3 linked regions of the Nothobranchius furzeri genome follow. The protein of the gene in region 2 interacts with the protein of the main gene of each other region in a pairwise test. Links are inferred from orthologs where the notes say so. Each region holds a gene or a part of one and is shown on either strand. Other genes may lie near its edges. The genes, in order: mapk8ip2, lrp2b and C-Jun-amino-terminal kinase-interacting protein 1.

Evidence for each region.
Region 1: the proteins of lrp2b (region 2) and mapk8ip2 interact in a two-hybrid assay, tested with the Homo sapiens proteins (2 studies listed by BioGRID). The link is inferred for Nothobranchius furzeri from reciprocal best matches to the Homo sapiens genes LRP2 and MAPK8IP2.
Region 3: the proteins of lrp2b (region 2) and C-Jun-amino-terminal kinase-interacting protein 1 interact in a two-hybrid assay, tested with the Homo sapiens proteins (2 studies listed by BioGRID). The link is inferred for Nothobranchius furzeri from reciprocal best matches to the Homo sapiens genes LRP2 and MAPK8IP1.

What each region holds. Positions count from the first base shown.
Region 1 is NC_091744.1:72,512,042-72,515,232, forward strand, and holds part of mapk8ip2 (C-Jun-amino-terminal kinase-interacting protein 2), read right to left. Parts: intron 1,099-3,191; coding exon 926-1,098; intron 843-925; coding exon 733-842; intron 604-732; coding exon 481-603; intron 390-480; coding exon 319-389; intron 232-318; coding exon 133-231; intron 1-132. UniProt on the Homo sapiens protein: The JNK-interacting protein (JIP) group of scaffold proteins selectively mediates JNK signaling by aggregating specific components of the MAPK cascade to form a functional JNK signaling module.
Region 2 is NC_091756.1:35,644,817-35,648,572, forward strand, and holds the start of lrp2b (low-density lipoprotein receptor-related protein 2), read right to left. Parts: upstream 2,433-3,756; 5' UTR 2,271-2,432; coding exon 2,204-2,270; intron 1,131-2,203; coding exon 1,020-1,130; intron 832-1,019; coding exon 709-831; intron 1-708. UniProt on the Homo sapiens protein: Multiligand endocytic receptor. Acts together with CUBN to mediate endocytosis of high-density lipoproteins. Mediates receptor-mediated uptake of polybasic drugs such as aprotinin, aminoglycosides and polymyxin B.
Region 3 is NC_091749.1:49,773,044-49,776,699, reverse strand, and holds part of C-Jun-amino-terminal kinase-interacting protein 1, read right to left. Parts: intron 1,637-3,656; coding exon 515-1,636; intron 1-514. UniProt on the Homo sapiens protein: The JNK-interacting protein (JIP) group of scaffold proteins selectively mediates JNK signaling by aggregating specific components of the MAPK cascade to form a functional JNK signaling module. Required for JNK activation in response to excitotoxic stress.

The sequences.
Region 1 (3,191 bases), on a different chromosome or scaffold from region 2:
AATACATTTTATTTGGAGTCTTTTAGATGATTTTAGGCATTGACAATAAGGGATGTGGCTGTGCCAGATGCATTTCTATATAACAACAGATTTAAATTCTAAGTAAGTATTATTCTAATAATCTGAACGAACCCGACACATTCAGCCACAGGCCGCATGGATTCCTGGGATACAAACACATGGCAAGCAAATCTATTCAGCATTGGATGCTTGGTGATGAAGCCAAAGTAGCTGCAGGGAGAAGAAATCAATGATGCAATCAGTCAGATATCACAATGTTCAGAAGGAACACGAGGGCCAAAAGGCTGGTTTGGTTACCAGTTATTTCTCGGATGGCATCCGCAGAAGGAGATGTTCTTCATCTGGAAGAAGTGGCTACACCTGTCGTACTAGGGATGGAGCAGATCTCAGGTTCAAATCCCTAGAGAGGTAATATTATACTAAAAGGGCAAACTGATTCATTGATTTACTAATCGTTACCTCATCAAGGGTGTCATAGTCGTCCTCCAGGCTCATGATCAGTTTAACTCCTTGCAAGCTGATCTCCAGCTCACACAGGGATGGAGGTCGCACATGCACCGTACGTTTCCTCGATATCGCAATCTAACAGACGGAAACAAAAAAAGCGCATGCTTCACACATGACCTGAGTTCACACCTGAGCCAGGTATGTAGAAGGTGTGGCGTTGTTTTGAATCACTACATTTGCTTTAACATTTTCCCTGCTTCTTACCTTTTGCATTGCGGCACAGAGGATGCCATTGCCTTGGTGATATGGCACCTCTACGGACCCCAAAAACTGAACACTGAACGTCTCGATCCATGCTGGATTCCTTTTTAGGCCTGAGCGGTCAGACAGAACACGTCATTTTTGGAGGGGAGAATTCTCAGGTGAAAGGGACAAAAAGCAGTTTCTCTCCACTCACCCTGCAACTCTTTCAACTGGCTTATGACCTCTTGGGCGTAGAAACCAGGAAAGATCCCTTTCTCTCCTGTCCGCATGTTGTAGCCTCTGTACCAATAATCATCCTCCTCTTCCTCCACAAAGAGAGGATCATCTACATCTAGCTCCAGCTCATCTGCATGTCTGGGAATAAACCTGCAGAAAGCAGCAACATCTTGTTAATAGTGTGCATTTGGATGGCATAAAAGGCATAAAAGCATCCCCATTCTACTGATTCAGAAGGGAAAAGACCTCAAGATGTCAGTTTGAAGCAGTGAATGTCCTAGTATTTTGTGTGTGTGTGTGTGTGTGTGTGTGTGTGTGTGTGTGTGTGTGTGTGTGTGTGTGTGTGTGTGTGTGTGTGTGTGTGTGTGTGTGTGTGTGTGTTTGCAAGAACATGGTGTTGAGGGTCTGCCCTCATAAGGAAATTACTGTGCAGTGATTTTCTCCTAAGACTGTGCTAAAAATTGCTCTGAACGAGCATATTCCACCATCAGCGCCAGAGATACTTCATTTCCCATGATGCTTGGCACACGGAAGCAATGTGATGACGTCACTGCCAAGGCGGAGCACGAACAACAACAACAACCAGCTGAAAGTTATACATTTCAGCTAAAAACGAAACTTAGCGTTCTTTTGCCCAGTATCACTGGCTGTAAGGACACGATCGCTGACTACGGCCCGAATAACGTGTGCACGAGGCCTGGGGGCTGAAGAGTGCGAACACCGAGCCGCTGGAAAAGCAACTCCGAAACCATCAGAACCTGGCTGGAAACGAGCGGAGCTCCAACAAGCTCACGGAGACGCTGTAAGTTATAAAGTCAGCACGAAGCGAAACTTTGCTCTCTTTGTGTCCAGCCAGTTGGAGAAACACTTGTGCGGAGAAACAATGACCTGCAACGCGAAAGAACAAAGGGACGCCTTTGGTTCGCTCACGCAAGAGTTTGACTTTATTTTATCTCCTCTCTTATCTTTCCCCTTTCTTATAGTTCACAAACAAGCAATAACACCGCGCTATTGCTTAAAAGTAGCTCCGGTTTTTCTCTTTTTCGTAACCAAATATGTCATACATCTACCGTGAAGTAAGATCTTTTGTTTATTATTTATTTAACCTGGGTTTGTCGGTCAGCTGTGGCCAGGCTGCATCGACTCTGTTTAGATTAAATAATTTACGAGTGACCTTTGTTGTTTTGTTAACTTTTGAAGTGTTTAAGTTCAGTTACACTGTAATTTTTAAGCCACTAAATGCAAGCTAATTCCTTTGTCTGCATCTGAGAGAGTTTTGTCACAGCTTACAGCACATCCCAAGGACACACACTCCCCGCGCACCTGGGAAAACAAAGACCCATTCATACGCCCTTCATTCACACACACACATTTGATTACACACACACACACACATGGTCTGATTTCATACACACACATCTTCAATTATATCAAATTGTTTTACATTATTAATCCCTGTTTAATTAAATGTTATAAAATTCAGATTTTTGTCTCAAGTGACTTTTTGTGTTGACTGAAAATCTCTGCTCCTAGGATTCCACGGACATTTCAGATAGACTGATAATAATTTTGGATTCATTTCCCTTTCTAATTAGAATGGGTGGTGCCCCGACGATACCTAATTGTATCTTAATTAATTAATACATCCGTAAATATTCCCATATTTACAGAATTTATTGAAGAATCCAAAAGTAAGCAAAAGCTTACAAATTATTCGCTTCCTAATAACCCCAACAATGGGCACAGGTGGTTTCTGATCAGATTATTGTTAGCCACCCAGCAGCTCTCAAGTCTAGCTGGAACCAGAACATCTGCCTTCCTCCCTTATCTAATTAGTGATGCACTACTGCTGCAGGACACACACACACACACACACACACACACACACACACACACACACACACACAGAGAGAGAGAGAGAGAGAGAGAGAGAGAGAGAGAGAGAGAGAGAGAGAGAGAGAGAGAGAGAGAGAGAGAGAGAGAGAGAGAGAGAGAGAGAGAGAGAGACAGAGAGAGAGAGAGAGAGAGAGAGAGAGAGAGAGAGAGAGAGAGAGAGAGAGAGAGAGAACCCACAATCATTACCTAAACATTAGTAGATTACTCGGCTGTGAATGACACATGATAAAATTTGCACATTTTTACTTAAAGGGCTACTTTGCAACATCTTCATATTTCTTATTATTTTCTTGAGAAATTAGCTAAAATGACTCGCAGGATTAATGATAAATGACCCGGACTTATGA
Region 2 (3,756 bases):
CTACAACATCAAGCTTCCATCACAACATCTCACATCCACCACATCACATCTCATTATTCATATCTTGTCATGTATAAAATGTTAGTTTGGGAAAAATAATTAAATTCATTTTATAAACTATGTACTGACTGTCTGAATTAATACGAAGTGTGTTTATGGTCCCTGATGAAGCAAAGAACCCTAGAATCTTCTGATTAAACATTCAAAGATGAATCAGATTGATATTTCATATTTATATGGAATCATCACATCTTATTGGTCATAATTAATATGTTTTAATGAATGTGTTATGGCTTGGGACGTACCTATAGGATGACCTAAACTTTTCAGAACTTAGTTAAAATGTTCTCCACAACTCTTACTAAAGTCTTTATTACTACCATGAAATGAGTCTAGAAAACCACATGCATTTGTGTTCAAAAACTACAAGAACATATCTTTAAAGGACAGGTGCAAATCATCTCAACACGAGTCTTATGGCAGCAAATAACTGCAATCATGGCAATCATTTTATTTGCACATATGACACGTTCTAGTTTAACAGATAGTTACTTCTGAGGCGATGTTGCCATCTAGTGGATTCTAAAACATTTCAGCTAAAATATCTACAGTTATTTAATTCCTTTTACCAATATGATAGAAATTATTGTAAACATACATTTTAACACTTTAGAAAACATAATAAAATCTTTGGTTTGTGTATTTTACCGCAGGTTCTCTGTTCATCTGAGCCATCGACGCAGTCCTCCTCCCCATCGCAGACAAACCCTGATGAGATGCACTCTCCACTTGTCACACACTTAAATTCCTGTGAAGTGCAGGATGGAGGTGCTGCCACAAAATAGCAAAACAAGTGATTTTTTAATCAATATTCATTCACCTTACATCACTTAACTGCTAGTCAGGTGACTTTCAATTTAAACTTTTAGCTCTTATCAATTGTATTTTGTTTAAAATTGACATTTTTAGCTCGTGTTGAGAATGATGCCATCTATATTGCAGATGGTTATAATACTTACGACAGTTGAGCTCATCTGAGTCGTCTGTACAGTCTTTAGTTCCATCACATCGCCATTCTTTGCTAATGCACTGACCATTGGTGCACTGAAACTCATTAATGCCACAGCTTCCTGCAAAAAAAAAAAACCCTCAGACATTTAATTATACTCATTTTTTGATGGGCATGGTGTGAGCTGAACTTCATTCAAGTTTTTCTTTCAAGTAAAATATATATTTTCTAAATAAGCTTTTTTTAAAACTCCTAAGTTAGTTTTTGTGTTTGGTAGAAAATGGCCTTTAGAGATGACACCAGAAAAAAAAAATCAACAGATATTTATCATTTACAATATTTTAGCATTTGAACATTATTTTAAAACAATAAGAAATATAATCTAAATGTGTTTCTTTTTTAATAATTGTGCACCAAGATCCAATATCAAAGCTGCTGAACTTGCCCAGGTCACAAAGTGTTTTATTACAGAATTTATAGCATTAAATTAAATGTTTGATGTCCGTGTCACCTCAGTAAAAACATCACATATTTTCCTATGTTTTACGAGTGAGCGACCATGTTTATGACAGTTAAAGTTGCTTCTTGTGCAGTATCTGAAACTTGTGGCATGTGATCTGGTCTTTAAAGAATAGTTAATTCTTCACCTTGAATTGACACGATCTTGTGATCCTGAAATATATTAAACTCTCAGACCAGATTTCAAGAACAAATGTGCTTTTATAACTCTGGGATTCAGATTTATTTATATTTATAGAGATTATTCATCAGGATTACTTGTTTTCAGTTTGGGAAAGCAGAGAGACAAAAACAAAAGAAACATTGCAGACATTTTCATACAGATCAGTGTAAATTAATATTGATAAAGTGTGCTTCCATCTAAGATTACTGCAGTTTATAACTTCTACAGATTATCACAACCTTCTAACTTACCCCGTGTAGTTTATTTGTATCTGACTGCACAGAAAATTTACTCCCATTTAAATCTATAAGTTTTGAGTTGGTTTAAACTTTAAAGCAAATGTTGTCATGATACCATGATGTTGATGCACAAAGTTGTTTTTGGTCAACAAATAGGATGAAGAAAGCATGAATTTATCCTGCAGCCATCACTGGCCATCGCTCAGAGCTCCTATTCTTTTATTTGACCCATATTTGCTTTAGAATACAGCAAAAACACAAGGAAACACATACCTTGTACAAGATGAAATCCTTGGGTCAGCAGCAGTAAAGACAAAACATGAAGCCCTTTTAGGCCCATAACTGAACCTTCACGTTCCGTCTCCAGTGTTTCTCAGCTCTGGTGTTAGTTTGATCAGCTCTGAGCTCTCATGTTCCCTCTGCACCCACGGCTCTCCCAAACCCAAATGATCGTGGAGGAGATAACGACTTTGGAACTGAGATGCTTGACCCCAACCAACCAGCAGATCAGTAATGTGACACAGAGTTATACAGGTTTTTATGACTTGCTGTTTTACATAAACTTCATCTAAGATTAACTTTTACCTGTGGATGTGTGGTCCACGTCAGCAAAAACACGTTGGTGTATTTTTGAGGCAAGAAGGTGAATGTGAAAGGTTTAAGTCAGATTAAATATAATAGTGTCTGAAATAGTTTGGATACAGACAAAAGTTGAATACGTTTTTTTTGTTGAAATTAAACATAATTTAATGACAATTTTACATCAGAGTCATGAGTTAATTTCTGACCTCTCATTTAAAATCTGTATGGTTGCATAAATGTTTTAAAACAAAATAATTGGATTTTTAAGCAAATCTGAAAAGTAGATAAAAAGAACAAAGATATAAGAACAAAATCACTGATATTTTTTTTTTTTTTTTTTTGTGAAAAGGGTTAATCATTTAATTCATAGAATGGAAATCTTTGCATCCTAAAACTGACCCCTAAGATCTTTGGCTTCCACGTGAACTAGAAGATGCTAGATGGTCATTAGATCAGTGTATTAGATATTGGTAGATACATGAAGGGCCCGGCTGATACACCCAGGTTTGTCATTTACACAGTACTGACCTTTGAACTATAGGTTTAATTTTACCTAAACCTCCACATATAATAAACATGTTTTAAGGCATGAACATCAAAAATGCATGGAGTGCTTCCAGGGTGTGAAGTGGTTGTGAGTACCTCTGGTGCTCTTTAGTTCAGGGATACAAGCAATACAAAAAAGAATTGGATCTTAGGCACTCAGGAGGATGAAAATAGTCAAAAAACCTTTACTATCCCATGGCTAATCAAATAAAAACATGTCTACTAGCTTCTTGTCCTATTTCGTCATTGTCTCTCCTCTGGAAATGTCCAAACCGTCTCAGTCTTGCCTCTCTGACTTTATCTCCAGAACATTTAACATGAGCTGCCCCTCTGATGGACTCAGATTAGATCCTATTCATCGTCGTCACTCCCAAAGAGAACCTCAACATCTTGAGCTCTGTCTTCTGTCTTGTCCTCATGGACACTGTCTCTAAACCAGACAATATGGCTGCTCTCACAGCTGTTTTCTACATCTTTCCTTTCATTCTTGCAGAAACCTTTTATCACTCCTGACACTTTTCTCCATCCAACCTGCACCACATGCTTCTTCATCTCTTTTCCACCCCCTCTGTTGCTCTGTAGACCCTAAGTCCTACAGCACTTCACTGCTGTCTCACTGCTCTCATGCATGTTCTGCACCACTCTAACGCTTCTCCGCCACTCCGGACCTTTTCATGCACCACAGCTCCTCTCTCATC
Region 3 (3,656 bases), on a different chromosome or scaffold from region 2:
TCCTGAGTCCACATCTGCCAGCCCTCCAGCCGTTCCGCTCTCCTACCGCTCACTCCCGCAGCCCACGCTACTGCAAATATCGCTATTAGAGGGAAATCACTGAATGCAAGTTCTTACTTTCACCACAGATGTAATACATCCTGCTTGCAACATTCTAAAACATGTTGCAAGCAGAGTATTTACAAAGTCCTAATACATCTTGCCTCGACTGAAAAAAAAAATCTCTAATAATAATCAGTGGTGTAGATATGCTTTTTGGAAACAGCACACAAATGATAAAATATTCATAACTAAAACAATGTTTTTCATTGGGTAAACATGAACAAATGACTCTTTGTAAACCAGTAGGGCTGTGTTAGTCTCATTTGCATGTGTTCTGATTCATTTACATAAAAACTAAGTAAAACAAAACATTTGCCAACTCAGTCCCTTTGCATTTATTCTGCTCTCAAAGGTCTGAGGCGGAGTTTTTGTTATTTGCAGCAGGTTGATTGTAAAAATGACAGGAACTTACTTGAGGAGTGAGAGCGCCCATTCATGAAGACGTTCAGGAACTTTTTGGAGAAATGCAGGTCTTCCTCAGAAGTGGAGTCTTCAGAAAGGCAAGCTGTTGCCTCCCTCTGCACCCCTCCTGTCCGAGAGTCTTGATCCTCATCCTCTTCCTCGTACTCCTCCCCAATGGCTGATTCGTAGGGCGAGGAGACGCAGTTGTCATAGACGGTGGCCGAGTCGCTGTCATCACTGTAGCCTTGGTAACACTGTCGGAGACTGATGAGCTCTAGCTGAGCATGCTCATCTACCACCAGTGTGTATTTGACTGAGTCATATGTTAAGCTGCTGGCCTCTGAGCTCATGGTAGTCCTTAGTGGGACAGATTTGCTGACACCACCACTGTCTCCCTTCCCTCCCCCCTTTGTCATTCTTTGGGCCATTATTATCCTGTCTACATCCTCATCCTCTCCACAATAGCTGTCATCTGTGGCATCCACATACTCGACAGAAGAGCCAGCTCGAAGCATGGCCCCTGTCGCTTTCAAGCTGAGGTCCAGGGCAAGAGACGAGTTAGGTGAAACAGCCATGCCAGGAGGTGTGATGAGAGACTCTACACAGGAAGCGTATGAAGGTGGAGGGACATAAAGTTCATCCTCTTCATAGATGGAGGGGTTTGTCCTGTCTGGAAGGGGCTGATAAGGAGGTGGTCCCTCTGTATCAGAGCTTATGGACATGCGTCCTTGTTCAGTCTGCTGTGAGAGGAAAGGTCGGTCCTGTGTGTTAGCGGGCTCTAAGAGGTCAGCGGAACGCTGCACTGGAGTCAGGTAAATCTCCTCTGTAGGCTCCAAATGAACATCTTTTTGGTACTGAATCCGTTCCCGATGGTGAGCAATACTATCGGCTTTACCCGCCGGGTACAGAGGAGCTGGTGTGTAGTTCTGTGGTGGTGGAGGTTGAGGAGGCTTCTCTTGTAGCTTGCAGCGCGTCACGGCCCCTGCACTCGAGCCATGCGAATGACCCGACGTGTGGCCGTGTCTGCAGGGGGCGTCGGTGGATGTCCCGCAGTCTTTGGTCTGTGCTCCCCCAAGCTGCACCTTGTCCTGATCGCCCAGACAGCTGTGCTCACGTGGAGGTGTGAGGTCACCTAAAGAAAGAGCAGACACAAGCAAAACCATGGAGATGGCAACACAAACAAACACACAGACACACAAGCATAAAGAGAGGCCAGACACACAGAGGTAAACACACATGATGGAGACAGAGAAATACACCAGCAGCCATGAGGATGAAAAGGCATGACACCGAACAAAAACACAGAGCAGAAAGAGTAGCAATGGTTAGGTAATGTCAGGATTACACAGTTAAATCCCTTTACACACCCAAATCAGAGCAAGGATGAGGTGAATGCTGAATTATGTCACATATTACGTCATAATCCATTGACAGGAAATCAAGTTAGTGTATTTTTCATCTTCTAGACACAGCAGAGATGTCTGACATCACAGAAAACTACCAGTGGTTCCTAGAGTTTGGGTCGGGACATCGCTGCAAGCGGCACAACTAAAAATTGGAGGCTTTGAGATGCAAATAAAACAGAGAAATGCTTCCTAAAATCATTTAGATTAAAACATGATTTAAGTGATTGCAGATGTAATTGATTTGCTTTTTTATGAAGCAAAAACATAAGATTAAATAAAAAAGGGAACAGATTAGCATTAAGAGAATGAGGAAATGCATTCAAGGTAGCCTAAACTGTCTGGCCAAAGAAGGTTTCACCTAGATTTAACTAAAGCAAATAGGTATGAGCTCCTCCAAGAGAACCGGTTCTTACGGCTCACTTAAATCAACCGGCTCCTTTGGCTCTCAAACGGCTTCTCATGTTTTTTTTCTTAAATTAACTTATTACCAGAAATTATACAAAACGGACTAAACTTAATTACTGATCTACAATATATTATATCAACTATTCATTATTTAGATAAGTTATTTTATTCAACACAAAGCAGAGAGCTACAAAAACACATTTTAAATGACAATACTAAACTCGACGTAAAACATTTATTAACTTTGAACCATTAGAGCCTGTTGGATATATTTTCTCTTTGCATATGCCACACTCTGCCTTTTAATTGTCACTGTAGTTAAAATGTGTCCAAATCTTGCTGCCTGTCCTGTTTTCACTCATTTCCTCAACTTTCTGTAGCGCTGTTTCTTTTCTTTTCTCCTCTTTTATAAATTTGTCCTGACCAATATTTGCAGGTCTCATCAGTTATAGTAATAATTGTCCCAGGCTTTTTGTGTGCGCCACCCATCTCACCGCTTTTACAGCAATCTGAGGTGTGTGTGGGTTGGGTTGGTTCGTTGGAGTTTTTGACAACTGAAATTGCGCCCACATTTTCTAAGTTAAACACATCACTTTTAACAACGGTAGTTTCTGCTTCAGCCATCTCCCCCCTCCCCCTGCGCAGCGGCCGCAAACTCACTGATGCGCCTGCAGCCTCTCAGAGTTTCTGCTGCTCTAAACATTAAAAAAATTATATCATTTTCTGTTCCTCACTTCTGATTACCTTCAATGGTGTCTGTTTGTTGCAACCACCAGGTACAAAAACTAACTTGATTTTATTTAACTATTTTTCTGTCCTGCCTGTTTATTATCGTCCTGCATCTCCTCTCAATCCTAAAGAAAAACTGCTACCTGGGTTCATATATATTCACCTCATGAGTTACCTTTGAACTGCAGTTCTAAAAGATCTACCGACCGCAAAAACAGCGAAGTGCGCGCTGCGCGCCGGCCGCACCAGTGCGGTACATCACCGGAGGACTGAACAGGTGATGCGCTCCGCTCCACAGCAGTGAAAAGCATCAGGCACAAATAAAAGACAGAAAACATTAAAGGAAATGAGCCGACATGAACAATCGCATGTTACATTTGTTTTTGAGGTGGCGACACCTAATTTGATAATGTTACTGTGGCCGTGCTCAGGACGCAGATGTCTGGAGCGCGTCAACGATCAGAGTTTTGCATGTGGAAGCTGGTTAAGGTTAGGATGGGGTTGAGAGGAAGGTTAAATTGCAAGAGGGTAAAGGTCACAATTCAGTCAAATGTCCGTTTTACGGTGGGCATCAGATACCAACGCTCTGGCACAGCGCGTCGCCTCCCAACG